2 linked regions of the Xenopus tropicalis genome follow. The protein of the gene in region 2 binds, or shares a complex with, the protein of the main gene of each other region. Links are inferred from orthologs where the notes say so. Each region holds a gene or a part of one and is shown on either strand. Other genes may lie near its edges.

Region 1 (3,609 bases), on a different chromosome or scaffold from region 2:
TGCCCCCAATGGCCAAATAGACAGTACCCCCCATACACAGTGGCCCCATAGACAGTACACCCCATACACAGAGCCCCCATAGACAGTACCCCCCATACACAGTGCCCCCAATGGCCCAATAGACAGTACCCCCTCATACACAGTGGCCCCATAGACAGTACCCCCCATACACAGAGCCCCCATACACAGTGCCCCCATAAAAAGTGCCCCCAATTGCCCCCATAGAAAGTGCCCCATAGACAGTACCCCCCATAGAAAGTGCCCCCATAGACATTACCCACCCATAGAAAGTGCCCCCATAGACAGTACCCCCCATAGAAAGTGTCCCCATAGACAGTACCCCCATAGAAAGTGCCCCCATAGACAGTTACCCCCAGAGAAAGTGCCCCCATATACAGTACCCCCCATAGAAAGTGCCCCCATAGACAGTATCCCGCACAGAAAGTGCCCCAAATTGCCCCCATACACAGTACCCCCCATACACAGTGCCCCCCATACACAGTGGCTTCTTCTTCAGCGGCTCCTCATACGGCGGCAACAGGCCCTTTTATAAGGTTGCGCCCCGTGTGTACGTGTGACGTCAATACGTCACTGCACAAGGAGCCGTATACGGAGAGGAACCGCTGAAGAAGAAGGATTCCAGCCAGCGCCTCCCGTTGCCCCGGATACTTCCATGAATGTCCCGCATTTCTGTAATCTATTACAGAAATGCGGGACATTCATGGAACTATCCGGGACAGCGGGATGCGCTCTAAAAACCGGGACTGTCCCGCGGAAAGCGGGACAGTTGGGGGGTATGAAAATGTGAGTTTAGAATTTAATACATAAAAACTCACCTATGTTCAGTTCATTCCTATGGGATTTTAAGAACTGTATTTATCAATGTGTGAAAGTTAAAGTTCACTATTTGATAAATAAGCTTCTAAAAATCAAATAGGAATGAACAGAACATGGGTGAGTTTTTATGTATTAAATTTTAAGATTATTCAGTCTGCTGTATCTATAAGCAATGTGCTTTGGAATTTTGCGGCATTAATAAAATGTGAGCCCACTGCCTGTGCTACAGTTACTTCGTAGTGATGGGGACCTTTATAAGTGGGCACATTTTAATACTAAGTGCACAAGCTCTGGGCCAATTAGAATGCTGTTTGGCAAGTGCCTGCACCAACCTACCATACCTTAAATGTTTGAGTATATGGTGTAGAGCCTTGTGGGGTAATGTACTATTGCAAAGTAATATTTTATAGTTTGTCTCCTTGTGTGTGACACACACTGTCATTTTTCAACCATTTTGTTGCCCGAATTAATACTTTGCATGAACCCTAAGACAAATGCAGAACCCCAAATTTTCATTATACAAACATGGCGTCTAACCATGTGAGCTGTTATCCTTTCATAGAACTAATACAGAAAAATCTGTAGCTTGGGAAATGCATCTAGAGCCATAATTCTCTTTATTAATACCTGTCTCTTTCCAAGGTCTGCCAGGTTGGCATCGCCATCTAGCCTGGACAGCTGCCACAGAGGATCCGCAGGAGAAATTTGGAGCATATTCTACAAGCCATCCACATCTATTTCTATTTTTCCAAAGAAATTAAAGGGTCAGCATGATGACCGCAACCCTTTGGTAGGAGAATAAGTTCTGCTGGAGGATTTTCAGTATTGCTGGGCTTCCCGGGGGAAACTCCTGCCACATCTGTATTTGGACATCTTTCACAACAGACCATGGACAGCAGATGTCAGCTGCACAGTATCTTCCTGGCATTGTGACTCAAGTTGAGAGAGACGTACCTACTGTCCAAGATGTGCTGTGGCACCTTCATACAAGATCCACAAAGAGTGAGATCGGATAAGCTTGCTGGTGTTGCTGAATTAGGAAACCCCCTATCTAGCCTCTAATTCAGCACATGGACAACATGTGGTTTGTGTTGGGATGGAACCACAGCTTAATGCTGCAAGCGTTACATGCAATCATCCCTGCTCTGTGCAGCGGGGTAGCCCATATTTGACATGACATTGGACTTGCCTTCAGCTCCTACTTTTTATATTGTATTTATGAACTTACAGCTCTTAAAGGAGCAACGGAGGTTGTCTGGTTTTCTCATGATCTACTTCATCAAGAGCTACTGTGATGGAGTTTTGTACTGTGCAAATGTACATATTGTTACACTGAGCAAACAAAAACCACCAGAAATACACACAAATCAAAGCTTCAGCCATCTTTCTATGAGCCAAACTAGAACAGGTTTCCCATCATTCCCAGAGTTTACACTGTCTGATACATTGAATGAATGAATTCTGTACGAGGGACTGAAGGTTCAGGAGGACCTGCATGAAATGGGTCTCGGTGTTTATGGGGCCAGAACATTCAGTAGATCCCTGTATGCGGAATATTTGAGAATTGCATATCTGTATCCATTTAAGATGATTGTGCACATTATCAGGACTCAGAATCCATTCTCATACACAAGCCTTTGTCTTTTTAACTGAATATGTGGAAGCAGATTTTCAGCTTGTTCCATAAAATACGCTTCGATAATATTCTTGTCCAATGTCCTTGGTCATTTATTCTTTCTTTCTTTTGCTGCTGGGTAATAATTATGATCTGAGGAATGATTTGGCAGTGTCAAGAGAACATTGAATACTTGGAACAATCCTGAGACAGAGACAGGCATAGTGCAGAATATCCACATTCCCACCCAAAAGGAGCTTCATTTGCCATAAAAATAACATAATCCAATCCAGTGAAACAAAACAATCCAATCTATGCTGTTTATGTAAAGGTAAAGTAAAAGGGGTTGCTTGTCTTACACTCATTCCTCTCAGTCTGATTAGAAGAAGAGTTGTGTCAGTAGAATGACATATCTGGGCACATTTAGGATAATTGCGCTCATAAACAGGACTCCAAACTCATATTTTAAACACTTATTTGTGTTTTTTTCATGAAAACATGGAAACATTTTTTAGCTTTAACCATAAAATATGCTACGATAATATTCTTGTCCAATGTCCTTGGTCATTTCTTCTCTTTTGCTGCTGGGTAATAATCAGGATCTGAGTAATAATCTACCGGCAATTATCTGTCTAATGAATGTGGTCATTTTATTTTGCCTTGCAGACATTACACATCTCATTGTGTTATATATGTACGGCAAGTGTAATGAACTATAATCAGCATATATTTCAAATGTGCCACGTACAAATATTCTATTTTCATGAAAAACTGGTTAAAGAGGAAGATTCATTATCTAATACATGAATGGGTATTCATGTATTAGATAATTAATTTGACTGTTTAGAAGGGAATTTAATACAAAATGAAATAGAAAGAATATAGGAAGGCCCGTCATTCAGCATATTTAAAGTTTTTTTACCCAATGTTTGCAAATGAGCCCCATACCATCCACAAACACACAGAGCCCCTTGATCACATTTAGTAAAGATTTCTATGGACTCATGAGTAACTTTTTTGATGATTTATCATTCTAAATTACAAATTTGATCAAACTAGAATGACCCTGATCAATCAGGAAAGCATTTCTGACACTTTTAGTTGCTTGAAAACATGGCACCAAAGTGCCCAAACCAGTCCCCCCATAGACCCATGAT
Region 2 (4,214 bases):
AATACCTATTCACATAATGCAATCACCTGCAGCCCCTTAAACGATGCAGGACAAGGAGACAGTGGGAATTAGTGATGCCCTAGTGAGCCCCATAGAGCGCCCAAACAATAGGCGACCTACATGCTCAGCAGGGCAGGCAAAGCTAACCTACAATTGCCCAGGCCGGGGGCCATTACCGATTGTAATGCTAATCGGAACCTCTGGGTTGTACTGGTTTTAAGAGAAAACCCTCATGTTGCCTGACATTGTCATCAATTAAGGGGGCAACGCCATGTAGACGTGAAATGGGGGGGGGCTTTTGATGTCAATTAGCGAGGCATTACTTTCAACGTCAGGGTAGATGGAGGCGGCGTACACCTCGCGGTTCTTTTCATGTCGCTTATAAACAAATGCCATTATGTAATGACGTGGGCTAATTGTGCTCAGGGAAAAAAAAAAAAGACTTTGATCAGAACTTGACAGCTGCTGGAGTGGCTTAAAGTCGGAATTTCACCTTGTACTTTAGCAGCAAGTACATCAAGACAGACTAATGACATGTGGGGGTTGTCAGTGTGGCAGACAATTAGGCAGATGAGCTTTGCTCCGGATCATTTAGTTACCCTTTAACTGCTAGTAAAGGTGTCTGTCACCCGTACAAATCGCATACGGTCATGAAAAGATTTGCAGTTGGTCTTATTTTTTTTTTTGCATTTTTGAAAAGTTTATTTTAGTTTATGTTACTATAGTAACAATAAACATCTAGGTGATCATTAAAAAGCTACTAAGGCAAAACTTCCCCTTGGGCACAGGATCACAGTATAAATTATAAAATGTCATTATGGGACAACGGAGTCTACTTAGTCCCAATGAATAACATTTTAATGTTCTGTAAATGGAGAAATAAATCCTTGGGATGGGATTTGAACCTATAAAATTACTTGTGCCATAGAAAGAAATATATCACGGAATCAAGTATTGAGACCATCATCCTACCCCCCCCCCCCCCACCCCAAAGGCCATGACAGTGGTAACAAAAGCCCCTTACCGTTGCTACAGTAGTTGCCGGTGCAGCACATTGCGTCCCTCAGGCAGCGCTTGCGGCGTTTCCGGCATGCCAAGCAGACCAGGGAGTTGCCATTTCTGGAACTGTGGCAGAACTCATCCAGGGCACAGTCGTCATCTTCTGTGCAACCGTAGAGCTGGGGGGGAAACAAGAGGAACAGGTACTTTAGGGTGGGGGGGTATCAGGATATGTATTGCTCCAGTGCAAACACAGGTGTGTATCCAAAATATGGCAATAAAGGGCAACTAAAGCCCTATGAGAGGTGGGGGAAATGAAGCTTTCAAAAAATAACAGTATACTGTGGGGAGATCACAGAATAATACAGGAAAATGACAGAATGTGTGACCAAAAAAAACAGGGGAATGACAGAATGATAAAGGGAAACAATCACAGAATGATACAGGGGAATGAAAGTATGGAAATCACAAACCAATACAGAGTATTTTAGGCAAACATGGAATGATAATGGGCAATGACAGATGAAAAACACAAGGAGAAGATTATACAGAATAGTATCAGGAGCAATCACAAAATTATAGAAGGAGATGACAGAATGCTGTAGGAAAAACCACAGAATGCTTTTCTGTCACTACACATGAGCCAATCAGCTGAGCTGACAGCCCTTGCATCACTAGAGCAGCCTTCCCCTTCTGGCTTGCACCCCAGCTAGCATGTAAGGGTTAAACACCAACTGTCAACTATATTCCTAACAGTCAGTTCCGACTGTCACCCTCACTGCTCAATACAGTTGTTTAACAAGGTAGAGATGGAACAGTAACACTATACTCTTTCATAGACAGAGATAGATAGATAGATGATAGATAGATGATAGATAGATGATAGATAGATAGATAGATAGATGATAGATAGATAGATAGATAGATAGATAGATAGATAGATAGATAGATAGATAGATAGATAGATAGATAGATAGATAGATAGATAGATAGATAGATAGATATGGATAGATGATAGATAGATAGATAGATATGGATAGATGATAGATAGATAGATAGATAGATAGATAGATAGATAGATAGATGATAGATAGATAGATAGATAGATAGATAGATAGATAGATAGATAGATAGATAGATAGATAGATATGGATAGATAGATAGATAGATAGATAGATAGATAGATGATAGATAGATAGATAGATAGATAGATAGATAGATAGATGATAGATAGATAGATAGATAGATAGATAGATAGATAGATATAGATAGATAATATAGTAAAGACAGTTAGACACAACCAGAGGCTCTGAAAAACATTGCGAAATGGAAAGGCTATACAATGTATCAAACTATTACGCATTTGACAACGTTTCGGGCGCATCATCTAAACTGTATGCAGAGCCCTACAGTATCTATACCCATAGGAATAAAAGTTGATTTCCCTGATGAGAAGAATAAGAATGACCCCCATCCTTCCAGCCCAACGTTTCGGACCCCCATCCTTGCAACCCAAGAGGCAAGAAGCATCTGACGCCGGACTTTACGCTTTATGGCCACTTACCGGGTAGGCATCCAAAGGTTGGTATTTGTTGGCAATATCATATAAGGAGTCCGGACTGACACTGACAGGGTAGTAGCCAATGGGTTGCCCAGCCGGGGCCGCTGGGACGTTCTTGATGGAGTTGGAGTTGGTCATCATGACAAAGCCAAGTGCCCCATCCAAGATAAACCCCCCCAAGGCAAAAAGAAGCATCAGGAACATCTCGTCCATTCCTCTGTCCCAGTAACCAATAACGGCAGGATAAGTCCTCCGGGGATAAGTCCCTTGGGTGCTGCTGAAGACTTGGGTGCTGCTGATGGCTAGGGTGCTTGGGTGCTGCTGAAGGCTTGGGTGCAGCGCCGGTTGTGACTGCTGCGCTCCGTGCTCAGTTCTGGAGAAGCCGCCGAGGCGCAGCGGTATTTATAGCGCAGGGTTTGTTTGCGCACACGCCCCTCCGCTCAGAACAACAAAAGCCAAGGAATTGGGATTTCAAAGCCCTGGGATTTATGACGCTCCGGCAAAGCTTAAATCACAGGGCAGACTGGCAGCCAGGGATTTCACAATAATTGTAATTATCAATTAATTCTTTTTTTTTTTCTTTTGCAAGATCACACAGGGCTTCCTGCAGAAGGGATTGCGCAAGCCATAAGGATAAATGAGGGAAAGCCTTCATATTTTATCCTATTATCGCATCAGCGGCGTAATCGTGATTTTATATGGTTACAGGTACTGGGGTGTGTAACTGGGATCGATCCCCTGTCCTGTGTTACACTGCTGGCCCTTATAGGCACTGGGGGTAAATGTGGCCCCTAGGATTAAATGAACTTTTTAAACTGCTTTGATTCACCTGATTTATTCAAAAGGGACTGGTATATAACAAGTTGCCCAAGGAATGGTCTGTAGCCATGTAGGGTGCTGAATACATGGGGCCCTCCCTGCAGATATTTGGCAGTACATGGTTATTGAATTTGACATTTTAGGTGGCCCAAATAGGTTGCGCTGCTGGGGGCCACACTGAGCTGCAGTTGTCAGTAGGAGGAGATAGGGTATAGTAGGAGTTGAGGGCAGGGTACCTACAAGAAGGCAATATATATGGTAGAGATAGGGCAATATGGTGGTAGTAGGGCAAGATGGTAGCCATAGGGCAATATGGTGGTAGAAGGGCAAGATGGTAGCCATAGGGCAATATGGTGGTAGAAGGGCAAGATGGTAGCCATAGGGCAATATGGTGGTAGTATGGCAAGATGGTAGCCATAGGGCAATATGGTGGTAGTATGGCAAGATGGTAGCCATAGGGCAATATTGTGGTAGTGGGGCAAGATGGCAGCAATAGGGCAATATGGTGCCAGTAGAGCAAGATGATAACTGTAGGACAAGATGGTAGTGATAGGGCAATATGGTGGTAGTAGGGCAAGATGGTAGTGATAGGGAAATATGGTGGTAGAAGGTCAAGATGGTAGTGATAGGGAAATATGGTGGTAGAAGGGCAAGATGGTAGTGATAGGGCAATATGGTGGTAGTATGGCAAGATGGCAGCAATAGGGCAATATGGTGGTAGTGGGGCAAGATGGCAGCAATAGGGCAATATGGTGCCAGTAGAGCAAGATGATAACTGTAGGACAAGATGGTAGTGATAGGGCAATATGGTGATAGTAGGGCAAGATGGTAGTGA

Evidence for each region. The genes of interacting proteins can lie anywhere in the genome.
Region 1: the proteins of dkk1 (region 2) and kremen1 are in contact, whole or in part, in a crystal structure (PDB 5FWW), measured with the Homo sapiens proteins. The link is inferred for Xenopus tropicalis from reciprocal best matches to the Homo sapiens genes DKK1 and KREMEN1. Residues at the interface, in NP_036374.1 of Homo sapiens: Cys189, Leu190, Arg191, Ser192, Ser193, Cys201, Arg203, Trp206, Ser207, Lys208, Lys222, His223, Arg224, Arg225, Lys226, Gly227, His229, Gly230, Leu231, His261; in XP_011528731.1 of Homo sapiens: Pro67, Asn88, Asp90, Asp92, Ser94, Trp96, Gly105, Val106, Tyr107, Trp108, Tyr110, Asp127, His128, Gly129, Pro132, Thr140, Asn142, Glu164, Ser165, Tyr167, Ala168, Phe170, Asn189, Val191, Phe193, His196, Asp203, Gly204.

Annotation. Positions count from the first base shown.
Region 1 is NC_030677.2:166,149,090-166,152,698, forward strand, and holds the end of kremen1 (kremen protein 1), read left to right. Parts: intron 1-1,479; coding exon 1,480-1,639; 3' UTR 1,640-2,994; downstream 2,995-3,609. UniProt on the Homo sapiens protein: Receptor for Dickkopf proteins. Cooperates with DKK1/2 to inhibit Wnt/beta-catenin signaling by promoting the endocytosis of Wnt receptors LRP5 and LRP6.
Region 2 is NC_030683.2:13,844,823-13,849,036, reverse strand, and holds the start of dkk1 (dickkopf-related protein 1 precursor), read right to left. Parts: upstream 2,920-4,214; 5' UTR 2,774-2,919; coding exon 2,564-2,773; intron 1,179-2,563; coding exon 1,025-1,178; intron 1-1,024. UniProt on the Homo sapiens protein: Antagonizes canonical Wnt signaling by inhibiting LRP5/6 interaction with Wnt and by forming a ternary complex with the transmembrane protein KREMEN that promotes internalization of LRP5/6.